5 linked regions of the Oryzias latipes genome follow. The main gene of each other region encodes a partner of the protein of the gene in region 5 in a complex. Links are inferred from orthologs where the notes say so. Each region holds a gene or a part of one and is shown on either strand. Other genes may lie near its edges.

Region 1 (6,243 bases), on a different chromosome or scaffold from region 5:
GGATCATTTACTGACAGACATAATAAGTAATCTCCAGACTGTGACCGAATGCCCTCTTACATTTGCACCCCCAAAGGGAGACTGGGTTTGATAGTTGTTAAAAATATACAATTAAAAACTTGACACACGTTCCATAAAAGAGAAGGTTAAAATAAAGACAGTTGGACCACACTCCAGCACCGCATGAGGGAGGCTGCCTCCAGGATCGCCTCGGCCCCACTGCACCGGTGGGTAGCCACGACGACCACCACCAAGGGAGATCTCTAATCCAAACCCTCACCAGGAGTACCTGCTCAGGGCCCAAATTCACACAAACACACCACAACCCAAACAGTGATTAAAAGAAAATACAAAACAGAAGAGGTGCAACTGAGCAGGACACCACTAATTTGTAGGCCGGAAATGGGGGGGGGGGGGAAATCCCCCTTACACAATACTACACATGGCACCCACCAGCTACCGTAAGGATAAAGGGAGGAGGCAGCCACCTCCAGCCAGGTCCAACCACCAAGAGACTAAAATGAGCAAACAGTTTAAAAAAATGGATAAGAGCAAGGGTGTCAAGCTTGATTTAAACATTAAAAACACTAAGCAAAACAGCAGTGGCAACTCTGCTGGAAAAAGAAAAATAAGTTAGTTCTCCCTGGGACAAATACATGTTTACAAACCCTTATGTTACCGCTCATGCCCCAGGGTCAGAACTCATGCCACCACCTGTTAATATAAATAGAATTTAAAATGTTGCAAACTCAAATGCTTAAAAAACTTTTGTAAAAGGACTCAAATGATTAAGCTTTAGCTTAAAAAAAAAAAAAAAAAAAAAAAAAAAAAAAAAAAAGCCCACATGTCAAGCTCACCCACCAAGGCCAAACCAGCATCTAGGTGGAACTCACAGCTGCTATTTATCAGCCTCATGAGCCAATCACAGCTCAACAGACAGGTGCTGGCCATGAATATTAACCTATGGAACACCACGAGGGACAAACTACCACCCACAGCCCTGTCTGTCATATAACGATAAAACAGGGATAAAGAGGGAGTTTCCAACTGAGGTCTGTTTCTAACAGTTTGTTTAAAACAAGGTTTTTTTTTATAATGAGACTGCCACTCTGTAAATAACAGAACCAAAAAAAAATCCAAACAATTGCAAAAATCCCAGTGCAAGAAATTGTAATGTAATATGGAGGGGAAAAAGATGAAAAATATATATAAGACATTCTAGACATGTATCTTTCTCAGTTATTATAAGTGGCAATTTCTCCCATTTTTCTACTTAAACATATTACCAAATGGCCCACTTTTTAAGGACAGAACAGTTTATCATAACAGTAGATAAAGCCATTGACTGTACAATAGGACATTATGTTTTAATATATCTATTATGCAGTCAGTAAGACTAACAGGGTCTGCGCCACCTAGTGGTAAAAATTTCGTAAAAATGCACAAATCACATTTTTCTTTGAGTGTGAATATAGAATCTTCCAACAATTTTATTTCTGCTTTTATTAAATAACTATGTAGTAGCATCTGCACCATTTAGATTAAGATAACTATTAGTTTTATGAATTCCTTTTTTAACATAGTCTTTTGAATTATTCCTCCCCCAATTTCTGACATTCTGTGACTGATGTCTCTTTCTGCTTCATAACACATTGAAGCAAAACTTGTAAAGATGCAAAAGAATTTTAATATTGTTTTATTGAGTTTAACTACTGGAAAGCAATTTAAAACACATCTCAAAATGATCACTTTCTCGTCAAAATATTTAATCTGTTTCACAAATACTATTTTGTGCGTCTGTGTATGGGTGTGTGTATGAATGACAATGAGGTTTTTTCACAAATATTTCTTTTTGTCTGTAGTTTTTTTTGGGGGTGTTATTAATATAATTGAGGATTATTATTATTATTATTATTATTATTATTATTATTATTATTATTATTATTATAAAAATCATCATCACCATCATCATATTTATAGTAGTAATAACAATGCCTGAAACAACCAATGGTTGCATTATAGAAATGACATCGAATACAAAGCGGAACTAAAAAACGGTTGGGAGACTTTAAACTGTGTGGGACCGTTACCACGGAGATGCAACCGTCCGCATAAAACAGTAAAATACGGTAATTTCCGTGTTAATTTTGGCTAATTTGTGCAGGTTTTATCCATAAAATCGCTTTCAGGTCATTTTTGTTCGTCATTATTGCCTTAATAGCTCCGAGCCTCCATATTTGCTCTGTAGATAAACAATCAGAAAACGTGTAGCATGATGGATTCGGAGTATCTTAATAAACATCTGGGGAAATGTTTGGCTGAAGGACTTGCTGAAGTGGTTGAACGGAAACCCGTGGACCCTATCCTTTATTTGGCCCACTGGCTGTACAAGTATAACTCAAATACGCTGTACGAGAAGAAGGTGAGTCGTTTTGTTGTTTTCACCAGCAGGGGGCACTAAAGGATGCAAACACAAAAGTTGTTGATTTACAGTGTTTTTAAGCATTACGTGGTTTACTTTTCCGTGTTTTCCATTTACAAAACGCTATAAAAACATAAAGTGATTGCATATATCATAATTTTTTTGAAACGTTGTCTTGCAAATGCAGTGCTGAATTAGAAACTATTAGAAAAGTGTGTAAACACACCAACCATAGTGTCATTTTTTTTTTAAAATGATGGATCTAGATTTTGCACTCCAGCTGCTTCTGATTATACCCATGTTGTTGCATGCCGTCAAACAGGTTTTAAGAGGATAACAGTGTTAGAGCACGTAAACTCATTATGCTGCAGGATGTAAAATAAGTAGGGCCTCAACAACAAAGACTCACCTTTTACCTTTAACACAGAAACTGTCTGTACCTCTACTGACACACAGCTGAGCCCTACTTAAAACAAAATGAAAGTTTAAACATTTTATGGTTTATATAAGATGTATACTTGTAAACTTTAGACTTGTAAGCTTAGATTTGTTCCTGTATCACCTTTGTATTTGCAGAAGAAGGCAAGTCTGGCTCTGCTGGATCAAGATCAGGAAAAAAGCAGCCAAGAAGCATCACATCAGGAAAATCTCACAGAAGAGGAGCAGATCAGTAATGCATCAAAAGGCACAGAGAAAGTACTTTCTCACTTTCTATTGCTAACTTAAAAGTATTTGATTTTAAACATCCTGAATGCATAGCTGACATTTTTAAAGACCTACTCTAACCATCTTTTGATCTATTTTCACAGAATTCCCAGTGGTCTTGTAATTCAAATTCAACTTTACTTGTGCACCACTTTTTCGACTACAAAGCCTCTCAAAGTGCTTTCCATAATAAAATAGATAATTGTAAGATAAAAAACAGTAGTTAAAATAGCAAACATAGTAAAAATAATAATGATAAAATAAAATTAACAACATTAAAACACATACAGACCCAAAACATACACATCCCACAGGTACAATCAAAATGAAGCGCATCAATTGCTGATAAAATTTATAAAATCTAATGAAAACATGTTGACAAGTAAAAACTACATAAAGGCTTTACTAAAAAAATGAGTTTTAATTTTTTTCTTAAAAACCTCCACAGTGGATGAAGCCCTCACCTGCCTGAGGAGACGTTCCACATGGAAGGCCCACAGTACTGAAATCAGGCCTCGTCGTGGGTTTTTGTTCTGACTTTTGGGACCACCAGCACACCTCCACCTGTGGATCTAGGAGGGTCATAAACTAAAAGTAAATCTAATAAAAAAATGAGGGGCCAACTCCATTTAAACTTTTAAAAACAAATGAAAAGAACTTTAGAATCAATCCTAAAGCTGACTGGGACCCAGTGGAAAGATTTCAAAATATTTCTTTATTTTTTTTCTTTAGCACTGCAATAGCCTGGTTTGTTTAGTCACAGGAACAATTCAAGCTGGCCATCTCACCATTTGCAGGAAACGTTCCCAGCTAGGTTAATTCACAGCTTTGCTGGGCTCAGGTGAACGTCGCGTCTGCGACTATGATTGTGCCGTATCAATCAATTATGAAGATTTTAGTCAAAAATCTAAAATCTGTGGTTTTCCGGGACATAGTTTCTACAGAGCAGTAGTAGTTCATCAGAAATATGCCTCTGATTCGTGGGTGGTTTGACCCCTTCCCCCCTTACCGGTACCAGTATTTTGAAACCCTCTCCCGTTAGCTTACAGCCCCTCACACCCACCTAACATGACTGGTGCAACAGAAATGGTGAGCAATACCGGAGCTGTTCAGATGTACAGTTTTGAACCACATGCCAGCTTGGACGAAGAAAACGCCGACGTACCTGGATACATAACAAATATGATCTTTTTCAAACTGCATTTTTTTGTTTGCTCCCAATTAACAACAATTTGAAAAAAGAGGTACTTAAAAATACAATTTAGAGCTTAACTTTCTTTTCATATTATGTCCGCCATCATGACATCTTTTGAATATCAGGCCATTGTTTTTAACAACATGTTAAAAACACAGTTTTCATCAGAGTGGGTCTTTAAAGGCCTAAAACTTTAACCCCCCTCTGAGGAGCCACAGATTAGCTCAGACACTAGAGACAGACGCTGAGACAGACAGCACTATTCAATAGTTAAGCATCAGGAGGCAAATGGGCAGCGCATGAGGGAGGCTGCTGATAAAATCGACTCCAGATGAGTCACGCACACTGCAGAGACAGAATTAAGGAATCTACTCCAGCGTTACAGGCAGGATCTGCACATTGATTCTTAAAAAATGCTGTATAATACAAGTTTGAAATACATTGCAGTCTGCTTTAATAAAACAAATGCTTTTAATAGTTCTTATGTTGAGCTAAAAGTCCTAAAACTCTTCAAAAAATGTGTTTTTTAAATGTAATTTCTTTACTTTTTCTTAGACTGATGATGTGGAAACTGAGAAACTTGAAGATGTCATCCGGTCCTCGTCAGTGCTCCAGAGTGAAGATGCTCAACCCGATGAGACAATTCACCATGAAAAAAAAGAGGAAGACATAACTGACCGCAACCATGAAGAAAAGGAGGAAGAGATGAGAGAAATCAAAGCAAGTCCATCTCCTATCGGTCTAGAAAAGGTAAGTATTTGTTGTTTTTCTCAAATATTTGGTACATCAAAATGTGTGTTCAAAAAGTACAGAAAGGAGCAAACGTTTGCTGGTATTTACTGGACACTTTATTGCAGGAGGCTGCATGATGGAAATTTTGGACCAGTAAGTCATTGGAAGGAACCAGAAAGTCATCAGAAGACTGCCGGAATATGACAGCAATGACGGATCACAAGATAAATAAATAAAAAGTGCTATTTTTTTCCTGATATCTTTGTTTAACATTTTGATATTTTATTTTATTGGAGTAAATTAAAAATGAGTTAATATTGTTTTTGTTATTTAGATCGTATAAAAAATTGCCACCTCACTGTTTCACAATAAGCATGAAAGGACAAATATTGATTTTTGTAATTTTATTGTCTTTTATGGCTTGTTCAAGAAGTGTTCAAAACTTTTAATAAAGTCATTTTAAATTGAAAAAAAAGCTGTAGCTATTATTAGACTGCATATTTCAAAACTGCCCATCGCTCTGCCTTGTTTCCACATTTTACTTGTGTGTCACAATGAGACTGCTCTGTTACTGAGCTCAAAGTTCAGAAGCTACATCTATACTAAATCTGAGTTTAAAAATGAGTATGAAGGGAAGGCTTGTAGAGGAAAACAAATATTTATTTATTATTTCTCCATAAATATTTGTTTCCATGTATTTTATTCTGGCAAAGTTCCTGAATCTTCATCAACCTTTGACCATGAAAGTTAACCCTCCTAGATTTCCTGGCTTTGTTGTTGCCCTGCAGTTCAAAGGTCAGATGTCTGCGCAGATCAGGCGCAGCTGCATGTAATCTGGGTGTCTAATCAGCATTTCAGGCTGAAAGAGGGCTGGGCTTTGGGAAGGGAAAAGCAAACTGGTGACTAAAACCCTGCTGGAATTTAAATGCGTCTCCACTCCTGAGTTTGTGTGAGTGTGGAGTTGGGATGCAGTGAAGGAGCGCGTGCAGAGATCCAGAATGGCTTTGGGGATTGTTGGTGACGCTGTGGCCGCTGTCGGTGGCCTCATTGCTGGGGTTCTGAACTACATGACTGACATGTTTCTGTCAGCTCCCTTGAAAGCCACGCTCAACCATCTGGAGGACACGGAGCTCAAAACCTTGACGGGCGGTAAGAAGTTTCTTCCCAGTGTGTAACTTTCAAACAATTC
Region 2 (6,012 bases), on a different chromosome or scaffold from region 5:
TTTAGAACAATAAAAAATAATTTAAAAACAAATAATCACAGCTGTAGAATCTACCGTGTTGTACTAACCACGGGACTCACCACAAGCATGTGATCTATTTGCTAATAAATAGCAATGGCGACTCGAAATGTCAGTATCATGCCTTCTATAGGTTTTTTATTGTCTGCATAGTAAAAAAATGTTAGCTGCATTGAGTTGAAATGTACGGCAAGTAAAAGCAGACAAACTGCATTCATTGAAACTTCACGCTAGCTTCTGCGAAGTTGCGCCGCGTGAAACTAATCCACCGCACGTGCAAACAGGCCCTCGCAGTTAAACGCCTTTACTCGGTAGTCACTTTTTCTTTCAAACGCAATACTTCATTAAACTCCAGAATTATTATTTTAAAAAAACTTACCCAGAGTTAGAGGCGCATGTTGCCTTAATGGAGTTGATCCGTAGCTTGTTAGCGACGTCTTTCAGCCCCTGCAGGGTCTTCTCGTCGGGCTTGTGATAGTTAGCCATGTTTATTTGGACTTGAAAGGGACGTTAATGAAAGTGAATTTAATGTGAGTTGTTTTAACTGCAGTGCGTCTCGGGTGTCGTGGGTTCAGTGCTACTCCACGCCGATGCTAGCTGCCCCAATGCGAGCCTGAGAGGAGGGGAGGGGACGACTGAAGGGGAGGGAGCAGAAAAAGGCAATCCTATTACGTCAAATCGCGCTTTATTTGAGAGGCTGTTACTTAACTCCTTAACTGTTCATCTTCAAAGACGTATTTAAAGTTTTATCGTTAAATTTCATGTTAGGAAATCTCAATAAATTCCACAGATAACAATAAGACCGGTGACAGATATACCATATGTACACAAATGCATCACGGTGCAGCGTGAAAATGTTATTGAAAACTGTCAAAACTGCAACAAATTAAACATATATATTATAATATAGCTGACATCCATTAAACAGTTAATTAGAACATGCAGGTTATGCATTAATAATGTTTCACATACGTTTTTTTTATGTTACTGTCCCTTTAAGGTCGCAGGTGGACGTCAGCCAACTAGGAAGTGCGGTCAGATTTTGCCCTCTCATTCTTACTCAGGGAAAAATGTATGACAATGCATGGATTATAAACCAGCCCCACCTTTAATCCTGCAACTACATGTTGTGTATGTGATTGTTCTTGTTAAGACAAAAAAAAAAAAAAAACACTTCACAAGGCAATTTTTTTATTGTAACAATTTGGAAAGAAAGCTTTTCTAAAATCAAACTTGATGTGCAATCACGATCATCATCTCTTGAAAGACCTGCTTTTTATGCCCAGCACTTCCTCTCACAAAGATCTTATGAAATCTTATGGCTCAGGTACTTCCTCTTCCTCGAGTTCCTGAAAAGATAGAAATGTCCTTTTTTTAAAAAAAAAAAAAAAAAAGGCCAGAATATGTGATCTGATCACACCACAAAAATATTAAGCATTTACTCTGATTCTCATCTGATTGTCACCCCTCTCCGCAGGTGTCACAGGCTCCTTGTCGAGTCTTTTCAGCTGCGGTAAAAGTGTCAACACATTGGGGCGATAGTCTGCTGTTGCCACCAGCGGGTTCTCAGAAAGAACCAATGCTTGCAGGCTTTTTGCCACAAGGCCAATGCTTTGCAAAGCTTTTTCCTCTGCAATTAAATTGCCTCTAAAAGATGGAAACAAACAGAAAATATGAACTCTTAGAATTTTTGTAGGTACCACAATGGGTCTCTCACCTTCTTACACATACCTGACATTTAGATACTGAAGACACTTCATGTTGGGACTGAGGCCTTCTAGAGTTTCTAATTTATTATCTCGAATATGAAGGATGGCGAGAGACTCTAACTTGTCTAGACCTTCAAGATGCTTGATCCCATTATCAGCCTATGAAAAAGGGGAAAAAAAGGTAATAGCAATTCTAATCAATATTTTGATATATTGTTGTAAGGAATAGTGGTACGGTATTGGAAGAGCATAATTTTAGTGATAAGAACTTTCACAGATATTAGTCATTTTAATAAAATAACAGCTTTTATGTACCAGATATAATCGTTGCAGATTTGGAAGGTTGAGGCCATCAGTGGTTTCCAAATGGTTTCCTCTCAGCTCCAGAGTAAGCAGATTTCCAAAGCAGCTAGTTTGAAAACAATGCAGCGACTGAATTTTGTTTCCTGAAAAAGAGGTCACTGTGTCACTTAAAATCTATACTAGGCTTTAAATGTTTAATATTTCCAAAAATGTGAGATAGAAAGTATTTTACATCGTAAATATAATTTTAAAATATATATATATATATATATAATTTTAAAAATTAGATTATTTTAAATTTTGGAATACAGATTAATCAATAACCTGTAAGATTGAGGCTCTCCAGGGCGGGCCCAACCAGGCCATCGGCATCATTTAACTGATTTGCTGCCATATTTAGCCTTTGCAGATAGATCAGCTCAGCAAACGGTTGTCCTCGGAAGCTCGCCACATCATTTTTGTCAACCTGCAGTTTGTCGATCATTAAGAATGTACAGACAACCCATTATAACTATTGGTGCTGTTTGAAGGACCATTTTAAAACCAGAGGCTCACCACTAAATCCTTTTACCTCTCAATCATAGAGGAAATTAGAAACAATTCAGCAATTAATGTCATTTCAAATGAATGAATCTGCCACAGAAATGATCAAGACAAATCTAAATAAAGTAGGCTACCTTCAGCCACAGGAGCTGCTTTAGGGAGGCCAGAGGAGAAAGATCAGTAAGGCTGTTGTTGGATAAATCCAATAAACGTATGTGAATGTAGCCGCTGATCGCAGCTAGATCATTTAATTTCCTGTGAAGTAGGTAGTAAAGAAAAATCCATTAGAAGCTGATTGGGTTAGTCAGTCCAGTTAAAATGTGTTTTGTCTGCTTACATGTTATTGAGGTTTAATTTAATAAAAGCATGTCCAAGTCTGTCTACTGTCCTGCACAATAATGAAAGTCCCTCTTTTATTATGTCTTTGGTCAATGTGTGTGCTTGAGCCTTTAAAAAAACAAAACAAAAAAGCTTTATTTTAATGAACAGAAGTTTTGAAATTCATTTCAGTAGCTGTCAATGCATTACTGTAGTTTACGAATGAACTTTTTTTTCCTCAGTTTCTGTAAAAATCAATGTGTGTTTTTTTTTTTTAACGGATTTTTGTGTACCTTATCGCCTTCTCCTTTCGCATTAGTTGTTTCCTCCTCATCTTCCAAGTCCGACAGTAGAATTTCTTCCTCCATAGCGGGATTGAACCGACTTTAAGCTAGCCAACAGGCTTCCAGCATTCGGTACGACGATAAGCAATAGTGCAGTTTTACGCGGAAATGAGTGGAAACACGAGCAATTCAAAGGCTCTATTTTCCGATAATATTTAACAAGGATTATGGTTAATTTGGGTATGGATGGTACGAGCTACACCGAACATACCAAATTCTAATAGCGTTACCATGGAAACTCCACAGCAACAACTAACCCCAACTTCGGGTAGGGCCAAACTTAATGACAAAAATTGTGAAATACTAGTAAACAAAAGTAGACGTTGGTCAAAATGTAACATTTTTTTTAATCTATTTTACACTTGCAGTATTTAATTTTTTGTAAGTGAAATTAAAAAGTTAGTTTAGCAACTGCGACTACCAAAAATATGAAATAAAAAAAGTATGTTCATATGTAACCAAAAAAAGAAAACATTGTTTGTAGAAAGCGACTTTTGCAGATACTCAACTTCTGCAAAAGAACGTTTTTTTTTCTGCACAACCAATTAAGTAAGTGATCATATTAAAAAAAAAAAAAAAAAAAAACAACAACACAGACACACAAAAGTGTTTCCGTAAAAACTTCTGAAATATACACAGTTTATGCTGGGACCCATCATTTATTAAATGACAGCATATTCTTAAAAAACAAATAAAACTATATGGTACAGTGACTGAAAATTCTCATTTCATGACATTTAGACCTGTGTAGAACTTTCCTTTTTCTGAAAGTAAGTGATTCTGAATTCACATGTTTAATTCACACAAACTGAAGCAAGAGGAAATCCTAAATCACACAAAAAACAAGCAAAAAGGTGCAATTTGTGCAATATCTTGACATGTACTGCTACAGGATCAGTCCAAAGAGGTGCTATGTTCTTCAGACTCTAGTATCGTCAGACCAAAATATATTTTTCTCTGTCTATGTAATGGGGAAGAGTGAAGTGTTTTGCAGGTGAGCTTGTCCTTTCTGGATCAGGAAATTTACATGTGAGAGGTCACTCTATTTCTGTATTATGCAGTAGAAGACTTCTTTTCACTCCTCCTTGCAACATTCGTGCTCCAAGACTAATGCCGGTGATGCCTTCACTATACAGACAAGGAAAGGATATAAAAAATTAGGCAACACACCTTAAAAAAGTTACATTATTTGTATTAAGTATTGAGCATCACTGACTTACAGAGGGTTAAACTTTCGCTTCCTAGAATCTGGAGGTTCAAGTCTCTGCAATGTCAAAACACAAGTAGAAACTGCATAAAACCACTCAATATTGAATGCATGTATTGTTGTACAATCCATGCACATGAACTGACCAACCTCTCTGCTTACAGCATCCAATTGTTTTTTTCTCTGCTCCAAATTTTGCTGTAAACAAAGATACAGACGCAGGACAAAATGTTCAAACGTGAAAATAAAGATTTTGGTCAATTTCTTTTTCTCATTTAGTACACGAAGACACGTGTAACAGACCAACGCTTTTTGTTGACTGTCTAAAATCTTTTGTTTCACATCTTTATTGGCATTAAAATGGAATAAACGTACCTTATGCAGTTCTGAGAGCTGCTGATGCCTTATGAGCGCCTCTTTGCTTGGAAACTGCCTCCTACATAGCAGACAGGCAAGTTTAACCCAGTCTGTCATTTTTCCCTCCTTATCTTCTTTATCTCCTTCTTCTTCGCTGTCAGTTTCTGCGCTGTAGGCTGGGACCAGGCCGTGCTGTTGAGGAGGCGATTGCTACACAAAGAGTCAAAATCAAGACTTTACGATGATGATGAAGTGCAAAGCAAATACATTGAATCTCTTAACTGTAAAAAACAAAATGACGTTATAAAAAGTATGATTAAACACTAGCAAATATTCTACATCATTGCTCTTACTTCTGTGCTTTGTCGCAGTTGGTCCAGAAAACTTTGAGGCCTTTCTGACAGTGCCCCCTGTAGGACAAAAAAGAAAATGTAAATAACCATCCAGTCTTAAGTCCAAATGCATTGTGACAGACATATCCCCTTAAGCCAAGTGTGTACGTTGGCCTCGTGCACCTTTTTCTCTAGTACAGCGTATCCTGCATCTGCACTTGCAGACTCCCTCTGATCATCCAAGCGACTGTGGCCTGGAGCCCGAGTGTATCCAGGTGGGAGAGAAGTGGACCCAACGGCAGACGAAGAACCAGATCGCATGTTCTCCTTTTGTCTATTGAGGCTTTTGGCCCAGCGTTCCATATCTTTTGCAATCTAAAAATGCAGACCACAAATACGTCAAAATCTTCTAAGATGTGTACGTCAGTTTGTATGTGATCTTATTGACGATATCATAAATAGATCGTTAAAAAGTAAAGGGAAGATAGAATATAAAAAGGAGTAAAATCTCCGAGCTAGTTCCATTTCTCCACAGTTGTGACTGGTCTTGAATGTACAGTACCTGTTGAGCAGTTTTGCTCTTTGGCTTTTCTTTCTTTTCCTTGCTTCCAGAGGTGGAAGACTGTGACTCTGCAGAAGCTGCATTCTCATTTTCAGTGTTTGACTGGTTAGCAGCAAGAACGTAGGTGTGTTTCTCCCCATCCCAGTACATGTACTGCTGAGAGTGGGGGTTGTAGTAGTACTGTCAAGAGAGGAGAGGCGTGCAGTAATGAATGAATGGAAAGGAATGGACATGCAAAATCAGCTACGGCCCAGTCTACCTGAGAATTTGGGTCATAGTAGAGTCCTGTGAATGGGTCATAATAGAAGCCAGAGCTGTC
Region 3 (6,351 bases), on a different chromosome or scaffold from region 5:
TTTTCAGAAGATGACGACCCATGTCTCTTTATTAAAAGAAAATTGTGGAGTATTACATTGATAGTTGTAATGCCTGGGTGACTATGGGGCAAGTCAGTTTTATTTTTGTACGGAGCAGAAAAAGAAGCAATACTTGGCGAGGATAAAAGGGGACTAATGTGTTGAGCTATAGAAAAGTCAAGTCCACATAACCTGTATTTTTTGTTGAAATCCATCCTTTATGTTGAATTTTTCTTTTTTTTTTGTTCCTGTGTCCTTCCGTATTGACCTTGGAAATGGAATCTGTGTCTTCACCCCAGCCCCATATGATGTTTAAGTTAGTTGAATTGAAAATGTTTACAAGTCTTTTCTGCTTAGTCAGATTTAACTTGTAGAACCATTTTGCACCCAGTGTATGTGACTCATTTTTGTCCTTGTCGTGCAGTTAAGGATTGATGTCTATTCTTCTTTTTCTGTGGGATTATTCCCCCCCCTGCCGCTTTGGTTACCAAATGTTGGTAGTCGTATTGTCTCTTTTCTAATCAGTCTGTGGAAACTTGTATCTTCAAGATGCTGTTTAATAAACTTTTTTTTGCTTATGGATGGTCTTGCTTCACTATGAGTCTGTCTCATGCATATTGCATGGCTTATATGGACATATATATATGCACATGCAACCTTTTAGTAGCCTGAAATTGAAGATCGGAACTCTATGTAGAAAGAAGACCAAATTTGGTAAATATTGTTCAACTGTGTTCAAAAACACTTCCACACACAAACACTTGGACCTTCCTTACCGAGACACAGGGTGTAGAGGCAGTTTAGCTTAGTCTGTTTAGTTTTCTATTTTATAACAGATTTTATGTTTTGTATAATTAGTGCAGCCCACTGAGACAACTGTTTTGTAATATTGGGCTATATAAATAAAACTGAGTTGAATTCCAGTTCTTTAAATTGATGCATCAGATCACACAATTGTGGCCTTTAGAATATAGACACACACTTTTTATCTACGTACTTATAGTTACACTAAAGAAAAACCTTCAGATCAGTAGTGAACTGTGCCAAAGAATAATGCATGTTCAGTTTAACCCTTGTACTATCTTAGATGACCCCACCCTTGCATTGATGTGTTCTCCCTACCATGATAAAGGTGGAAAGATTTCATGTAATCCACCAGTGAAGATCACAAATCATTGAAGATAAAAAGGTTCAGAGCACTGTCTAGTGCAGGGGTCGGGAACCTAAGGCTCGCGAGCCATATATGGCTCTTTTGATGGTCACATGTGGCTCGCAGACAAATCTTTAATTCAAATTTTTTTTCTTCATTAGACCAGTCCTTCTCGTGCGCGATGCGATGGCAGAGGCGCGCAGTAGTAGCGGTGCTTAGAGAGACAAATCTGCGCCAGCACTAGTCTTCTTCCACTTTCGGCTTCTCCCATCAGGGGTCATGGTAAATTTGGCAATGTTTTACGCCGGATGCCCTTCCTGACGCAACCTTCTCAAACTGGGCTTGGAACCAGCAGAGGTAGAGAAGGGAACAGGGAGCAGCCCGGAGTCGAACTCGGGTTTCACGGATGGAAGGCGCCGCAAACCAGCATGAGCTAAACTGGCTCCTGCGCCAGCACTAGTATAAGTTTAAAATTGTCTATTAATTCACAGAGTTTGTACCACCCGGAAACCTGTGAATTGCCGTGCCTAAAACTGCGCGCTCCCGTCTCTGAGAAAGAGCGCGCAGTTGCGGGGACGGGATGTGTGAGGGAGAAAGCAGAGGGTGGGGCTGAGGTGTTGTGGGGACAGGCAGCAGGTGAATCGCGCAGGGATTGTAAATAGGTAAAACCCACTGCCTGTCACTCACTGCAGCGTGTGAGTGTGTGTTTGGCTCCAGGTCCGCATGTGAGCAGTCTGTCTCACATCTACAAAACATTCATACCAACCTAAGATCACGTTTAAAGTCTCAACGCCTGCATGAAGCAGAAACTCACCACGTAAACCAGACTAGACCATCAGCAAAACTACCACGAGAAATACTCATCATTTATTAGAAACAGCATAACAATGTTATTAAAAAGAATCCACAGACTTATTGTACTTTAAAAAGGTTGAAATTACATCAAATGCACACATTCACTTGTATTTTAGTTTTAAACATATTGTCGCGGACTGAGTTGGATGGCTGTTGGGCCGCGTTAAAAGTTCTGGAGTTCATTGACCGCATCAAGCAGAGAGCTGATTGGCTCTCAGTTCTGTCGCTCAGCCTGTTGTTAGGTAGTTTGGACCAATGGGGTTCAGCTATGGGCCGAATAAGGGAAAGGGGAGGGCTGCAGCGGGAGCAGGGGAATATAAAGTTGGGAGACGCGCTCTCGTCTCGTCTCGGCGGGAGAGATTCAGGAGTTGCTGAATTAATTGTTCGGCGTTTGTCGCGGTCTGCAGTAACCCGAATAAAGAACCTTAAAAGAGGTTAAGTCTCCGTGCCTCAGTGTGGGAAAGGGACACTACATTATTGTATGGCTCTTTCGAAATTACATTTCAAAATATGTGGCGTTTATGGCTCTCTTGGCCAAAAAGGTTCCCGACCCCTGGTCTAGTGGGTCTAGATGACCCAACTCCCAATGGTAAAGTGCCTAGGATAGCACAAGGGTCAATGACATTCTGTAGTAACATTTCTAAAACAGCAGGGGGCGATATGCACATGCGGCTCCATTGACCTCAGCGACAGAAGAAGAATTCTGTTGCCATGCGACGGTAATATACAACTGTCAGTTTACGGACACGAATTGTGGCGTAAATCAGAAGGACAGCAATTACGATTTTTTGGTGAACATTTTAAGGCATTTTTTGCTTATTACTATTTACAGTCTACATATTTTTCCAGGTAACGTAATATGATTGTTTTTCTCAGCACTATAAATAATTATCACTTAATTTAAACGTATGTGTGATGCACGCACATGCTAAATGTTGCAAAGATGTCGTGACGTAGTCAGTAAGGGATTTCTGCATTTTGTTAACACTTCAATTATTGTTTGTTTAATGCAATGTTTTTATTTGGAAGGGAAATAAATGGGTTATTCATACCAAACTACTAAACTAACTAAAAATTACTAATACAATTAATTTCTTATTTTTGTTTAGTACTTGCTGGCCGACAAACTACAGTGCACGTATTTCAGCCATGCCCCTTCCAGACACACTGTACTGTGCCGAGCAGATCAACATTCCACCAGAACTACCAGATATCCTCAAAAATTTCGCCAAAGCAGCCATCCGAACGCAGCCCATGGACTTGCTTGCCTGGAGTGCAGCGTGAGTTTCTTCTTCTTTCTCTTTCGGCTTTTCCCATCAGGGGTCGCCACAGCGAATCATCCTTTTCCACCTCACTCTATCATGGACATCTTCTACCCTAACATTAGCCAACTTCATGTCCTCTGTTAAGACATCCATGTATCTCCTCTTTGGCCGTCCTCTCGCCCTCCTGCCAGGCAGCTCCATCTCCAACATCCTTCTACCAATATATCCACTATCCCTCCTCTGAACATGTCCAAACCATCTCAGTCTGGCTTCTCTGACTTTGTCCCTAACACAGACAACATGAGCCGTCCCTCTGATGTACTCGTTCCTTATCCTGTCTAACCTGGTCACTCCTAAGGAGAACCTCAACATCTTCATCTCCGCTACCTCCATCTCAGCCTCTTGTCTCTGTCTCACTGCTACCGTCTCTAACCCATAGAGCAGAGCTGGTCTCACCACTGTCTTGTACACCTTTCCTTTGAGTCTTGCTGACACTCTTCTGTCACACAACACTCCTGACACTTTCCTCCACCCGCTCCAACCTGCCTGCACTCGCCTCTTCACCTCTTTTCCACACTCCCCATCACACTGAACTGTTGACCCCAAATACTTAAACTCCTGCACCTTCTTCACCTCATCCCCCTGTAACCTAACGCTTCTACCTTGATCCCTCTCGTTCAGACACATGTATTCTGTCTTACTACGACTGACCTTCATGCCTCTTCTTTCCAGAGCAAACCTCCACCTCTCTAGCTGTTCCTCCACCTGCTCTCTACTCTAACTGCAAATTACAATGTCATCCGCAAACATCATTGTCCAGGGAGATTCCTGTCTTACCTCGTCTGTCAGCCTGTCCATCAGCATAGCAAACAAAAAAGGACTCAAAGCTGATCCTTGGTGTAGTCCCACCTCCACCTTGAACTCCTCTGTCTGACCTACAGCACATCTCACCACCGTCATACTTCTCTCATACATGTCCTGAACTACTCTGACATACTTCTCTGCCACTCCAGACGACCTCATACAGTACCACAGCTCCTCCCTCGGCACCCTGTCATACGCCTTCTCTAAATCTACGAACACACAATGCAGCTCCTTCTGACCTTCTCTGTACTTTTCCATCAACATTCTCAAAGCAAAAATGGCATCAGTGGTGCTCTTACGGGGCATGAAACCATACTGCTGCTCACAAATCTCCACCTTCTTCCTAAGCCTGGCTTCCACTACTCTTTCCCACAGCTTCATTGTGTGGCTCATCAACTTTATTCCTCTATAGTTGCTGCAGTTCTGCGTGTCACCCTTGTTCTTAAAGATCGGAACCAGAACGCTTCTCCTCCATTCCTCAGGCATCTTCTCACTCTCTAAAATCCTATTGAACAACCTTGTTAGAAATCCCACTGCTGTCTCTCCTAGGCACTTCCATACCTCCACAGGTACGTCATCAGGACCAACGGCCTTTCCGCTCTTCATCCTTTTCAGAGCCTTCCTAACCTCATCCTTTTCAATCTCTGCTACTTCCTGCTCCACAACAACCACATCTTCCTCCCTTCTTTCCCTGTCATTTTCCACGTTCATCAGCTCCTCAAAATACTCCTTCCATCTTTTTTGTACACTCTCCTGAGTTGTTAGCACCTTTCCATCTCTGTCCTTAATCACCCTTATCTGTTGCACGTCCTTCCCATCTCTGTCTCTCTGTCTGGCTAGCCTGTACAAGTCCTTCTCTCCTTCCTTTGTGTCTAACCTGTCATATAGCTCATCGTAAGCCTTCTGTTTGGCCTTTGCCACCTCTCTCTTCACTCTACGCTGCGCTTCCTTGTACTCCTGTCTACCTTCCTCAGTCCTTTCTACATCCCACTTCCTTTTAGCCAACCTCTTCCTCTGGACGCATTCCTGTACTTCCTCATTCCACCACCAAGTCTCTTTACCGTCTTTCCTCTTTCCAGATGACACACCTAGCACCTTCCTACCTGTTTCCCTGATAATTTCTGCTGTAGTTTCCCAGTCATCTGGAAGCTCATCCTGACCACCCAGGACCTGTCTCAACTTCTGCCTAAATTCCTCACAAGTTTCTTCATTCTGTAGCTTCCACCACTTGGTCTTCTTTTCTGTTTTCCCTCTCTTCTTCTTCCTGACCTCCAGAGTCATTTTACACACCACCATGCGGTGCTGTCTGGCTACACTCTCTCCTACCACCACTTTGCAGTCGTTAACCTCTCTCAAATGACCTCGTCTACATAGGATGTAGTCCACCTGAGTACTCCTACCTCCACTTCTGTATGTCACTCTATGTTCCTCTCTCTTCTGGAAGTAAGTGTTGACTACAGCCATTTCCATCCTCTTCGCAAAGTCCACCACCATCTGTCCCTCCAGATTCCTTTCCTTCACACCAAACCTGCCCATCACCTCCTCATCACCTCTGTTGCCCTCACCAACATGTCCATTAAAGTCTGCTCCAATAACAACTCTCTCTCCTCTGGGGATACTCTCTATGACCTCATCCAACTCACTCCAGAATCTCTCCTTCACTTCTAACTCACAGCCAACCTGTGGCGCATACCCACTGACTACATTCACCATCACCCCTTCAATTTCTAACTTTAGGCTCATCATCCTGTCTGAGACTCTTTTCACCTCTAGAACACTGTTTACAAACTCCCCCTTCAGAATCACTCCTACCCCGTTTCTCTTCCTATCAACACCATGATAGAACAGTTTGTATCCTCCTCCAATACTACGTGCCTTGCTGCCCTTCCACCTTGTCTCCTGCACACACAGTACATCTACCTTCCTTCTCTCCATCATGTCTGCCAGCTCTCTGCCTTTCCCTGTCATTGTGCCAACGTTAAGAGTCCCTATTCTCAAACCTATGTTCCTGCCTTTTCCCTTCTCTCTCTGGCCCCGGACCCTTCTGCCTCCCCTCTTTCTTCGACCAACAGTAGTCAAATTTCCACCGACACCCTGTAGGTTAACAGCATCGGTGGCGGTCGTTGTTAACCCGGGCCTCGACCGATCCGGTATGTCTAAAGTGTTGTGGATGATTCGCATGGTTATTTTGGCAATTTTTACGCCGGATGCCCTTCC
Region 4 (6,180 bases), on a different chromosome or scaffold from region 5:
TATGCTCCATGATTTTAAAGAAGTTTGCATGTATTACCTGACCTGGTTTCTGATGAGAAGCTTTGTGGATGAGAGCACGTCTCCACAGTTTTATCTGGTCTTTTCATGTCAGTGTAAACTTGACGGTCACTGTCTGCTGCTGTTTCTATAGGTGTGGAACCTGGCGAACTGCAAGCTGAAGACTAACCACATCGGCCACACTGGCTACCTGAACACGGTGACCGTATCTCCTGACGGCTCCTTGTGTGCATCCGGTGGAAAGGTAAGCTGGTTCAGTTGGAGAACTCGACTCGTATACTTGTGAAGATTTTTAGTGATGGCACACAAAGGCCGACCTCCAGGTGTCAACTGTGATGGATAAATAACACATCATTCTGTTGGTAAACAATTGATGACAAAAGAGGCTGTTTCTGAGTGACACTGAGTCGTAAAGCCACGCTAAATGAAGATCCAGAACAGAGCTGCTGTGTGGTCATGGCTTATTTTCTTGTTAATGTTCTCTCAATCAGGACGGCCAGGCTATGCTTTGGGATCTGAACGAGGGCAAGCACCTGTACACCCTGGACAGCGGCGATGTCATCAATGCCCTTTGCTTCAGCCCCAACCGCTACTGGCTTTGTGCCGCCACTGGCCCTAGCATCAAGATCTGGGTGAGAGCTCCTACGTGATGATGTGGAACTACTGCTGAATGTGGTTTGATGGGCCTTGATGAAACTTGAAAATGCTAACTGTATTGCTTGATGATAACAGAGGCTGTTTCTGAGCTCCAGACTAATTAGCTTCAGTCATTTCTGTACATTGCCTGTTATTTTGAGTTGTTTTAGTCATACGGTAAATGTTTATTCTGTGTGCAGGATCTGGAAGGGAAAATCATTGTGGATGAGCTGAGACAGGAAGTGATCAGCACAAACAGCAAAGCCGAGCCCCCACAGTGCACCTCTCTGGCATGGTCTGCTGATGGACAGGTATTCAGCTCCTCTTGACATAAGTACAAGATGGGGCTGTTGCTAAAGCTAGTCTGTCCTTCTAACCCCCAGTGATTATACCCATTCACTATTAGCTCTGATTTTGACTGCTGACAGTCCTGCAAATATGAGGGGAAAGGACAAAAATCAAGGCTATAATCAATGTATTTAATGGTTTTTGTGATCAGTAACTTCCATCCTTCATTTGCTTGCAGACCCTGTTTGCTGGTTACACCGATAACCTGATCAGAGTGTGGCAGGTCACCATTGGAACCCGATAAGAATCCATCGCTGCATCGACTTTAAATAAAAAGACTGTTTGAAAAGTTGTGTGTTGGTCTTAACTTTAAATATTTTACTTTCACGCAGATTGAGTTTGTCATTTTAGAAGACTGCTCATAATCAAAGTTTTACTTATAATATTGATGCAAGATCATTTAAAAAGCTAGTTAACAAATTTAAGTTTGAAATGTTGAGGTCTACATTGAATCATGAATAAAGTTAATTGTAGGAGTGAAACATTTGAATTGATTTATATTCCTATGATCCATCCAGATTGATGCATGTGGCAAGTTAATCAAAACACCCCAGACCATTATAAAATCGTTTAGAAATGAAATTAATCAATACTGGAAACTGCCTTTTGGATTGAAGCATGGGTTGCAGCAAAAACTGATCATTCCACTCCAATGTGCAGAAATACTTAATTTTGCAAAGATGTGACCATCCAGTGTGGTAGAATGTTCTCTTTGGATTAGGTTGATGTGGAAAAACAGTGGGCTCAACTTTATGAAACTAAAATGTGAATGGATTTGACATTAATTCTTGTTTACTAGTTTTTTTGTACACAATTTAAACTTATCTTGTAGGAAATACAAGGTACCAGGTATTTATCCGAGTCACACTGAAGTTTTGGCTAAAGATCTCCTGGATCCATTTTAGGTCAGTGAATCGGATCATTCAAACTGAATCGATATGAATCAGCAACCATAAATATCGAATTATTGCTAAAATCTATCATTACACCCTTAGTTTTCATTCTTAAAGGCTTCTCACGTGGCAAGTAGGAAATAAAAGAAGTTTGTCCCTCCTCAGCTCCCGTACTTGTGAAATGGTAGCGTAGCAACCAAAACAGCGCAGGGGTATTGAATTGGTGGGACGAGGAGGACTTCTTGTCGTTCCTATAAAAATCAGTTTTACTTTGCGTGAGACAGAGATGGAACTTACGCATTTAGGCGATCAAATTCGTGTAGAACGAACACTGGCGATCATAAAGCCAGATATCTATGAAAAAGCCGAGAAGATCGAAGGTTTCATCCTTCAGTCGGGCCTCACAATCCTGCAGGTTAGTAAATCACTGATGCGCAAACCTACACGTCTGAGAACTGAGACTATTTACGTTTAGAAGGAGTAGTTTTCTGTGTGACCAACGTTTAATTAACGCAGTGGACACATGTCTACTGCCATGTGAAGTTTATTAACAATAAAAATAAAGGTTTTTTTTGTTGTTGCTAGAAGTATAAATAAAATGCTGTGTAGAAACTGTTTATTTTTCCAAAATGTAACAAGAACTCACACACAGTGGCCAAATGAGCAGTGAGATCATTTGGCCACTTGAGGGCGCTAATCCAAACAATTCGGTGAGCGAGCTAAAGTCATTTCTGACACAATTAGCCCTTGTGCTATCCTAGGCTCTTAAACATTGGGAGTTGGGTCATCTAGACCCCACAATACAGTGCGCTGAACCTTTTTTCTTCAATGATTTGCAATCTTCACTGGTGTCCATGAAATGTAGGATGGCACAAGGGTTAGAGATGCAGAAGACAAGAAGTTTTTTTTAAGGATGGTACAAATAAAATTTCTCAGTCACGTGAAGGAACAGTAATGTATTAACCTACAAGATCTTCTAGCTTTCAGAGCAAAAAAAGGTTAGTGGTTTCATTATAACTGCAGGTAAACGTCAGTTTTGAACAGCCTACTCTAGCTGTTAATTCATGTAGGATGTTTGAAAATCATGAGGACATACGTGTTTGAAAAAAACCTTTCTGTCAAGTTTAAATAGTCATCTCTCCTGCCATGGTTCTGCTGTCCGTTCTCCAATCCTGTTAGAAGCGAAGGCTGCAGCTGAGTCAAGAGCAGTGCAGTGACTTCTACTCAGACTGCAGCGGAAAACCTTTCTTTCCGAGCTTGATGGCTTACATGAGCTCCGGCCCGATCGTTGCCATGGTGCTGGCTTGTGAGGATGCTGTCACACGCTGGAAGTCCATCATTGGTCCTGCCAGCATCACAAACGCCAAAGAAAGTCAGCCAGAGTGGTCTGTTTCATGTTTATTTGTGTTTATACCGTAACAGAGGAGTACATTTGTATTTATCAGTGTAGATTTTTCATTTCATTACATTCATAATAGAATAAATTTTACTATGACATGTCAATGAAGAATATCTGGATCAGAGGTCTGCAACCTGAGGTTCCAGAGCTACATGCAGCTCTATTATCCCTCAATTGTGGCTCTTTGGCTTTCAAGAAAAAAAGCATACGATTGTAATATATCATGCTTTTGTGGTTTTGGTTCTTTTTTTTCTCTCGTTAAGTTGTCAGTTATGCTTAGATTTTTATCTCAGATGCCCATACTGATGCAGATAAAGCACATTTTCCAATCTTCTGCTGTACCACAGTGTCTAGTTGCTGTTCAGAAGCAAAGTATTCAAAGTAAATAATTGTGTTTACATGTATGGATCTAGAAATAATGATGTCATTAATATATTTGATAGTATTGTAAAAGGTAAAAAAGCAAGACTGTGCACCAAAGACATATTTGTAAAACATGCCATGTTTGATTTGCAATTTTATTAGCCCTTTTAATTCTGTAAATCTGCTAACTTTAAATCTGCTTTAGCAGATGTTTGTATTTTATTTTGAAAATGAAATTGTTGTGCAGTTCTTAAAAGTAAAATAGATGTGATTAAACAATTGATTAAAACTATGTCATATATATTTTTCACTTTAATTCAGTTATTGTCGATGCTATAAAGCTCCATGTTGTGAATGAATGGCCACAAAAGCATGAATAAGGAATTTTTCCAAACTTGTGAAGTGGGACTTTGCGGCTTCTACTGTGTTTTTCTCAGTAGAAAATTAGACCAAGTGACTCTTGTAGCTTAAAAGGTTGCAGACCCCTGATCTAGATCTTTAGTCTGATGATATGGCTGATTTTCTCCAGTCTTAGAGCGAAATATGGAACTTCTGACCTGAAAAATGCTCTTCACGGCAGTGAGTCCTTTCAAGAAGCTGTGAGGGAGATTAAATTCATGTTCCCAAACTGTAAGCTGTTGTTTCTTTTTTACACATTTTGTTGTCTATAGGGCTACTACAACAAATACAAAAACATGTAAACTTGTTTTAATCCTTCACTCACAACTAGACTGAATTTCTTTTCTACCAATTGTCACCATTCTCTTCGTATTTAATGTATAATTTTATATGACTTAATAGATGTTTCCTGTTTCTCTCTGTAGCTTTCATTGAGCCTTCCCCTTCAAAGCATGAAACCAAGGAATACCTGAGCAGGTGTCTGAAGCCGGTTTTGCTTCGTGGACTCACAGAGCTTTGTAAAGAAAAGCCCCTCAATCCTGTTGTTAGTTTACTCTATGCAGATTTTTCTTTTTATTGATTAGTAGCATTTTCCTGTTATTTAATTATTTATTTATTTGTTTTTATTTACAGATTTGGCTTGCTGACTGGCTGCTGCAAAACAATCCGAATCAGCCTCAAACATATTTCTAACTCTTGGATGATATCAAAATAAAAGACTCAGGAAGTTCCAGATGTATTCAATTTATGTACCACTTTCTATGAATAAACACACAACTTTCAGCTGTGTTTGTGCATTAAGTTTGTTTTGTGACATTATCAACTAAGTTTTGTTCTAAATTGTATTCGAGTGTTTTTTCTAACATACTGAAAGCTTTTATATTTTTTAAGAATTGACTAGATGAATGTGCTGCATTTGAGTTGCGTCGAAACTTGTGAAAACGGAAGATTTTCGATCGTTAATCTCGCTACGGAAGCGTCATTTTTTAAGTAGAAAAAACACTTGATGTTTACAACATTGTCGCCGTCGTATAAAGTGTTCATCAAATTACAATTACAACAGGCATAGAAAAATGTAAACAACCTTAATAAAGTTAAGTAAAAAAAAAACAATAATACAGAAAAATACAAACTTAAATAAAAAAGATTAAGATAAAATTAAAGAAAGGGGATACATGGGCGTTGTAATGATCATTCATTTAACTGATATCAGTGAACGCCGCACTTCTTTTTTTAAACTCCTTCCCCTCGTCTGCGGGGCGGAAACGAGTGGTGTTAAAAAAATAGAGGAGAGAGATTAACTCTGGTGTGATAGGTTGATTTGTGATTGACAGTCGGCCTTGTCCAATCAGAAAGCTTCTTTGGAAAAATGTCAATTTTTTCCCCCTGCCGGTTCCAGAAAACCAACCATGAGTTTCTCGTCGCGTGGGAGAATCCATTTTGAAGAGAGCTCTCCGGCTGCTAGGCTTGTAAGTAGACTGTTATAATTTTTTTTTTCATCATAACTCGACGCAATCGCAATTTTACCTGCATTCTTTGTTTGTGTTTTAAACGGTTCTCATTATATTGATTACAGAAGAACGATATTTCATGATTTTAATAATTTTCAGGGCTGCGTGGCCTCTGACTTACGTAACTGCGAATTTAATTTGCACAGTCCGGGTTTATCGATGTGAGATGGCTACAACGTCGCTAATCTCTACGCCCGGCAGAACAACTCTTGATTGGCGATAGTCGCCGCCATGATGATGTTGTAAAAAAGATGAGTTTTTGGTGCTATAAACCCGGTTTAAACTGGAATGTATGAAATGCCAATCTGCTGGTCAAAATGGTGGGAAAAGCGTGAATTCGTAATGGGGTAATGGCGAACAGAATCACGACAGACGCCGACATTAACAGGCATGTTTCTATCGTTTCCTCGGGTGTAGGTGTCATAGTACGAAAAATGTCTGAAGAAGCGGAGCAGCAGTACATGGAGACGTCGGAAAACGGGCACGAGCTCGACGATGATTTTAATGGAGCCGGCCTAGTCGGCGAGGGGGAAGACGGCGGCGCCGAGAACCAGTGCGACCAAAGCGGGGACGCCGAGGATGGGAGCTCGCAGAACGGCGGCAACGAAGGAGG
Region 5 (6,151 bases):
CAGTGATCGCCTCTCCTGTCGATGTGGTCAAGACGAGGTACATGAACTCTGCTCCAGGCCAGTACGGCAGCGTGCTCAACTGCGCTGCTGTCATGATGACCAAAGAGGGCCCCTTTGCCTTTTACAAAGGGTAAGCATGGATTGTGTTTTACCTGAATGTTTAATAAGGATGCACATTGAATACAAAGAAGACAATCATGTTGCTCTCGTGTTCTCACTTAAAAGGTTCATGCCATCGTTCCTCCGCCTGGGCTCCTGGAACGTGGTGATGTTTGTGACGTACGAGCAGCTGAAACGAGCTATGATGGCTGCCAATCCCAACAGCTCGACTTCAGTGTGATTATTGCAGTTTACATAAGGATCATTCACATGTCTATCAGCAATAATTTCAAGAATCTTACAGTATTAATCTGCATATCAAGGAAGAATAACAGATGAATCTAATCTTCATAGCCAGAGCTCAGAGCCTGCTTGATCAGGCCCTTGCTGTCAGAGGAAAGCTTTTCTGGAAACTGGATCTCAAAGGTGATGATGAGGTCTCCTCTCTGGGAAGAATCCTGGGATAGGGGCATTCCTTCTCCTGTCACCACCTTGTTGTACGCTGGACTGATGTGTTTTCGACGATGCAGAAAAGAAAATAGCACATTACCTTGACCTGATTATGTAACATTTTTATAAATAACTTAAAATTTTTTTGTTGTGTTTCCTTTCTCTGATGCTAAACGTCATGTCAAGTTTACAAAAAAACGGAGTACTGCATTATGCAGAGCTCATAGTAAATTTTTCACTTGCAGCACGCAAAAGCACTTACTGCACAATGTCATTGATAGGAATGCTGAGTAGCCTGCCATCTAGTGTTGGGATGTCCACAGAGAAGTCGGTCAGTGCCTGTTCAGATAAGAATCATCATCAGTCTTAGCTTCAGATGAAAACAAACAGTTACAACGCCATTACATTACTTACATTCATCAGAGAGATCTTGAGCTTGTAAATAAGGTCGTTGTGTTGTCTGATAAACAGAGGGTGACTTTTATGTCGCACTATTAGCACTACATCTGCTGGAGTCCTGTCTGGTCCCTAAAAAAGGTTTGATAAACATAAATAAACAATATGGGCATAAAAGGCAATCATATTAGAAAATCGAAATACTTCGGGAAAATCAACCTATACACGGCTTTTACTTTTTTTTTTAACTAAAAAAAGCAAAAAATAAAACAATTTAATTAATAAAAGAGGATCCTATAAGAATTCAGAAAAACAATGCTGTAGAGACTTACAAAACTGTGCCTTTTCATTACTAAAACTACTAGTATTAATAGAAAACAAAATACACAAACAGAATGCCGGTGATTTAAAATGAGCAAAGAGAAGGTCACAGGAAAGGAATTTTACAAGTTTTTAATGCTTCTTCGTCATATGATATTCATCAATACTAATCATAATTCATTTTATAATGTGAAACTATTTAAATGTAATATTGACTGATAAGTCAACCAGTGAATGTTGCTTATAACCAAGGGTAATTTCTTTATAACATCGAGTAGAATTTACCTTCTTAAAATAGTTAATCTCTTTCATTTAAACAATTATCATCCTCATTTTCATTATTAGTAATTTTATCCCATTTTCACCAGGAACTCTCACACACATTTGGTGAATTTCACAAATTGTTTGAAAACAATAAAACAAACCAATAAAAACACAAATATGATTGACTATTTTATATAGAAAATCAACTAAAATTTTATATAAAGTAAACGAATTAATTGAAAGAAAACTACCCAAAAATTTGTAAGTAGTAGCTAATTTTCAAGAAATAAAAATAAAAATGGTTACAACACACTCCTTATTAAAGCAATTTCAATTTTAAGCAAGATATATAGATGGATTGATTGATTAATATTAGGACGTTTTGCGGGGTTATGGGAGTTATTGTAACAAACACCAATAGGATCATATTATTATGACATAAGCTGACACCAAGAAAAAATAATATAAATTAGTTTCACGTGAGTTTTGATACATAATAAAAAGTTTCTTAAAGACTGAATTTACTTGATCTCCCTCTTTTGGGAAAACGACTCTTGTGCCTTCGCGCCATCCTGGCTTCACATCTACAGTCAGAATCTTATCTTTGATACAGGATGTGTGTCCATCATCATTCAGAACCTGTAAAGAAAGTGAGGATGAGGAAAACCTTAATGAACAAAACTATTGTAACTGTTTTATTAAATAATGAAAATGACTTCCACAAAAGTTGTTAGTGTTAGAATAAAAATTACCTGTGAAATCATTTTTCAAAATAAAAGCCTTAAACATGTGGAAAGTGTGGCTTCGTTTGTCCCAGAGATTTTTTTAAGTAAAATTTTTCAAGGTTTTGCCATATACCAAAGTTGTTTAACTTTCTTTGCTTTCTCCGGGTTAGGGTTAGGGTTTTGAATGCAGCAGATCTTACCCTGCGTGATATCTTGATTTTTTTGGTGCATCCCAAGAAGAGATCCTCAAGAGTCAAATAAAGCTCTCTCTCTATTGGGGGGTCCTGCGTCTTCTCCAGTTTTGTTTGCGGCACACCAAACTGAAGTGGTGCATCTTTGGTGAAAAAATCTAGCAAAAGATTAACATTAGTAATTGCAATGGATAGGTTTTCAAGACAGTATTTATACAACGTGGGGTTTTTGTTTGGGCTATTCTTACCTGCAAATGGGTTGTCACCTCCAAAAAACTGTCTAAATGTTTTGTCTGGATTTCCATGGTAGGTGTATTTGGATGACCAAGCCCCATCACTGCCAAACTCAGGTGGGATGCCAGCTTTCAGGCCCTCCTCACCAAATTTATCATAGATTGCCTTCTTACGAGCTTTAATTAAAAAGGGAAAAAAAATTACTTCTTCGTAAGTACTTTTACATTTATTTAGAGATTATTTTATGCTATTCTTAAATTCCTGCAAAGCTCTGAAGAACTGAATGCTAAATGCAGCATTTTTGTCATAACAATATTTTTAAAAGGTCACGTGAGCGACGGAGCAGCCCGGTAAAGAACGTGAACCGTGAAGTCTTACGGTCGCTCAGGACATCGTAGGCTTCACCCAGCAGGGAATACTTCTCTGCGCTTCCAGCTTCAGCGTTTCTTTTCGGATGAAACTTCACAGCCAAACGTCGATACCTGCGCAGATAATAATTTCATGACTTGATCCAAAACAAGCAAGCAGCAAATAGAAGACAGAGCTAGCAGCAGGTGATTGATTTCTTTAAAAGTAACTCACGCTTTTTTGATTTCAGCGTCAGATGCTGTCCTGTTAATTTCAAGAGCCTCATAGTAAGCGTTGTTCAGGCTCATTACGATAAAACCCTGACGGCAAAAACCTATATGTTCTCGACGAGTTTTTTTTAGACAATCCGAAGAGAAGTCCGTACGTTTGGGTTCGCTGCCTTGGCAACCACTGATCGGACCTCTCGCGAGATTTAAAATGAATCTGAATTTGCTGGTATATTCAACTGTCTTGACCAGTGGCGGTTCTACCCTGAATTACTCCCCGGGCGAGACCCTCCCCCGGCCCCCCCCCCCCCCCCCCCCCCCCATAGTCACAACAGAACTTTGTTTGTCTTTGTCAACTGACATGTTATATTGTCATTGAAATTAAGAAGTGGATACAAAAGATGTCAGAATTCTGAACAGCATTATAATAGTTATCAGAACACAAAAAATAAAAGACCATAAGCATGGCAAAAATACAGTTAGCTAAGAAATATTAAATCAATATTAAATAAATAATATAAAATAAATATTTTAAAAACATTTATGAATTGGAAATTTAAATTGTCATGTTCTATATCGATCTCTACTTCAGAGAAGAAAAATTAGCTCATATTTTCCGTCTTCAATCCTTTGATTGGAAAATTTTCAGTTATGACCTGTTGAATTATGTTTTGTCCCCATAGATTTGCAGTAAATGGTAAATATTCATTTTTAAAACTACCTTCAGATTTATGGAAATTCTATTGGCTAAAAATATAATCCCACATTTGTAAAACAAATAAAAAATAAACTTCATATGCAGGCTCAAAATTAACCCCTAAATCCCCAGTTAAATGTCAAAAAAACATTGGGAAAACGTTTAGGCTGCCACAAACGATTATTAAATTTAAGACCAATCTCAAATTATTTGCCCCATTAGCATCTTATGGCAGCAGCAGCATGCTGTGTAACCATCACAGCTTTTTTAACATTATGAACTAGTATACAACAGCAAAACCCAACAAAACCTTTGTGTTACAGCAGAGCAGACAGACACATGAATCATAACTAATGTTACAAGTTAAGGCAGAGCAAATTTTTAAGAATAAAATCTAAAAAAAAAAAAAAAATGACGCTATTTGCAACATTTGGGCCTACTTCAGTGTTGGTCATCGACCAAAATAAAGTTTTCATCGGCAACATTGTTGTAGGGCAGGTAGCATTAGAATTTAGAAAAGACATGCATCAAGCTGTGAGGACTTACCCTTTTCTTTATCTCTTTTCTCCTCTTCTTCTTTTCTTTTCTTTCTAAATTGGGCACCAGATGGCTTTGACCTTTTTTTCTCCATATTTTAGATGTTTTTGGCGTTTGTTTGGCATAAATGTCCTCACGTCACGAAGAAGACATCAAGTCCGTCGACTGAACCAACTGTCACCTTAGTGACAGCATTGTTTTGTGTTGCCATTTTTTCATTTGGGCATTTAACACAAAATTAACCCAAAAAAAGCAGAATATATTTTCTATACCTTTATTAAAGTGTAGGTTATAGAATGTCACCTTATGACTGACTTATAAAAAGGTTTTATGAAGTAGATTCAAACCCCCGCCCTTGTCCCCACCTAGCCACTTAATTTGGAAGCGTCCCACAATTGAACTGATTCCCCGCAGCCCCCCCCCCCCCCCTTTCTTCACACATTTCCAGCAGGAGCGCGTGCAGCTATAGCCAGGGGCGCTGATTCGCTACATGACGGCGCAGTCGCAGTTTTTACTTTTATTTTTTTCATCAAGCCCGCGACCGTCGCCTCCCCTGAAAGATGAGCCCGCCAGGTTTTGCGCATGCGCAAACGCGGTGGCGCTCCGTGCTCCCCCCGCGCCCCCTCCCTTCTTCTTCACACACATTTGTGTCTACTTCTCAAAGACAGGAGAGCGCACAGCTGCGGGGCGAGGGCGGCGGCGCGGCCAGGTTCAGGCTGTTACAAACTCACAAACTGTGACATAAGTAAACCAATAGTGGTGCATATAATATTTTACAAGGGCTGAGCCGCCGGTGCCGCCCCCCTTCAGTTTTCCGCCCCAGGCCACCGCCCGGACGGCCCGTGCCTAGAACCGCTACTGGTCTTGACATAAATAAACTAAAATAGTATTTCAAAATAATAACACACACAAACAGTAGAGACAAAGAGACCCTTAATCAAATAAAAAACACGAAGACATGTAAAAACTACTTAAAATGCTAGCTAAACAACGAGTTTTTCATTAAAACCTCCACAGTGGAGGAAGCCATAACATCCTCCAACAAGCTGTTACACAGTGCTGGAATGTGGCCTCGCCATTGGGTTTTAGTTCTGACCTTTTGGACCACCAGTGGACCTGCAGGATCTGGGAGGGTCTTGAACTAAGTAATGGTCCAGTTCCATTAAGAAATTACTAAACTAATAAAGGTTAAACAAACCACAGCAATGATGGAGTGGTCAGCATGCTAACATCATATAACTGATTTTAAAATTAAACAATCACCTAAAGACAATATGTCCTGGATATTCATCAGATGCATTTACATTTTGTGCCATGTCAACATTTATAAGTTTGGGCTTTTCTTTTTTAAAGGGATTATCCTCGTCAGTGAACATTTTCAAGTTATTTTTTTGTGATTTTCAGTGAATGAAATTATAAAATATGGATTTTAACAAGACACTTTCCTTTTTACCTAAAAATAAAATCTTAGAAATGTCCCGTTAATATTCAATTTTCCTTATTGCATGTGACTTACAGCTGTGGGAATGATACTCATGAACTCTAGTCATGGTGACCAAAATTGTATATTTATTCTGTCATTTGAAAAATCATTCCATACAGAAACGTTAAGGACACCCATATTATACAAATTGTACTTTCGTTCATAAGTTTACACAAAAA

What was found.
Region 1: dnajb13 (region 5) and DPY30 domain-containing protein 1 share a complex: the UniProt entries of both Homo sapiens proteins name them as parts of the axonemal radial spoke complex. The link is inferred for Oryzias latipes from reciprocal best matches to the Homo sapiens genes DNAJB13 and DYDC1.
Region 2: dnajb13 (region 5) and lrrc23 share a complex: the UniProt entries of both Homo sapiens proteins name them as parts of the axonemal radial spoke complex. The link is inferred for Oryzias latipes from reciprocal best matches to the Homo sapiens genes DNAJB13 and LRRC23.
Region 3: dnajb13 (region 5) and ropporin-1-like protein share a complex: the UniProt entries of both Homo sapiens proteins name them as parts of the axonemal radial spoke complex. The link is inferred for Oryzias latipes from reciprocal best matches to the Homo sapiens genes DNAJB13 and ROPN1L.
Region 4: the proteins of dnajb13 (region 5) and nme5 are in contact, whole or in part, in a cryo-EM structure (PDB 8WZB), measured with the Mus musculus proteins. The link is inferred for Oryzias latipes from reciprocal best matches to the Homo sapiens genes DNAJB13 and NME5. Residues at the interface, in NP_705755.2 of Mus musculus: Thr156, Lys157, Lys158, Thr181, Ile182, Asp183, Arg185, Trp188, Arg189, Gly191, Thr192, Arg193, Ile194, Thr195, Phe196, Glu197, Pro281; in NP_542368.2 of Mus musculus: Glu52, His53, Asn56, Met193, Lys199, Pro200, Lys201, Leu202, Cys203, His204, Phe205.

The regions. Positions count from the first base shown.
Region 1 is NC_019877.2:16,025,016-16,031,258, reverse strand, and holds DPY30 domain-containing protein 1, read left to right. Parts: upstream 1-2,061; 5' UTR 2,062-2,129; exon of another isoform or gene 2,130-2,189; intron 2,190-2,248; 5' UTR 2,249-2,272; coding exon 2,273-2,422; intron 2,423-2,998; coding exon 2,999-3,118; intron 3,119-4,877; coding exon 4,878-5,072; intron 5,073-5,179; coding exon 5,180-5,191; 3' UTR 5,192-5,311; downstream 5,312-6,243. UniProt on the Homo sapiens protein: Functions as part of axonemal radial spoke complexes that play an important part in the motility of sperm and cilia. Plays a crucial role during acrosome biogenesis.
Region 2 is NC_019865.2:13,825,092-13,831,103, reverse strand, and holds lrrc23 (leucine-rich repeat-containing protein 23), read right to left. Parts: upstream 3,525-6,012; 5' UTR 3,260-3,524; coding exon 3,185-3,259; intron 3,021-3,184; coding exon 2,911-3,020; intron 2,829-2,910; coding exon 2,708-2,828; intron 2,497-2,707; coding exon 2,355-2,496; intron 2,174-2,354; coding exon 2,043-2,173; intron 1,887-2,042; coding exon 1,750-1,886; intron 1,666-1,749; coding exon 1,461-1,665; intron 1,368-1,460; coding exon 1,335-1,367; 3' UTR 1,193-1,334; downstream 1-1,192. Other genes in the region: transketolase, read right to left, coding at 398-504; RNA-binding protein 10, read right to left, coding at 4,273-4,363, 4,456-4,499, 4,593-4,640, 4,818-5,009, 5,153-5,209, 5,315-5,506, 5,694-5,873, 5,953-6,012. UniProt on the Homo sapiens protein: Essential for sperm motility and male fertility. Plays an important role in the proper assembly of the third radial spoke (RS3) head and the bridge structure between RS2 and RS3 in the sperm flagella.
Region 3 is NC_019878.2:13,557,057-13,563,407, reverse strand, and holds the start of ropporin-1-like protein, read left to right. Parts: upstream 1-2,701; 5' UTR 2,702-2,854; intron 2,855-3,114; 5' UTR 3,115-3,154; coding exon 3,155-3,285; intron 3,286-6,351. UniProt on the Homo sapiens protein: Functions as part of axonemal radial spoke complexes that play an important part in the motility of sperm and cilia. Important for male fertility.
Region 4 is NC_019868.2:17,075,477-17,081,656, forward strand, and holds nme5 (nucleoside diphosphate kinase homolog 5), read left to right. Parts: upstream 1-2,059; 5' UTR 2,060-2,181; coding exon 2,182-2,310; intron 2,311-3,074; coding exon 3,075-3,280; intron 3,281-4,186; coding exon 4,187-4,287; intron 4,288-4,481; coding exon 4,482-4,600; intron 4,601-4,689; coding exon 4,690-4,749; 3' UTR 4,750-4,845; downstream 4,846-6,180. Other genes in the region: rack1 (receptor of activated protein C kinase 1), read left to right, coding at 152-262, 510-650, 855-965, 1,181-1,246; heterogeneous nuclear ribonucleoprotein A/B, read left to right, coding at 6,002-6,180. UniProt on the Homo sapiens protein: Functions as part of axonemal radial spoke complexes that play an important part in the motility of sperm and cilia. Does not seem to have nucleoside diphosphate kinase (NDPK) activity.
Region 5 is NC_019872.2:16,412,252-16,418,402, reverse strand, and holds dnajb13 (dnaJ homolog subfamily B member 13), read right to left. Parts: upstream 3,458-6,151; 5' UTR 3,337-3,457; coding exon 3,263-3,336; intron 3,163-3,262; coding exon 3,059-3,162; intron 2,857-3,058; coding exon 2,695-2,856; intron 2,605-2,694; coding exon 2,456-2,604; intron 2,170-2,455; coding exon 2,056-2,169; intron 1,078-2,055; coding exon 964-1,077; intron 889-963; coding exon 812-888; intron 696-811; exon of another isoform or gene 607-695; coding exon 441-606; 3' UTR 341-440; coding exon of another isoform or gene 226-340; 3' UTR 142-225; downstream 1-141. Other genes in the region: ucp2 (mitochondrial uncoupling protein 2), read left to right, coding at 1-130, 226-340. UniProt on the Homo sapiens protein: Functions as part of axonemal radial spoke complexes that play an important part in the motility of sperm and cilia.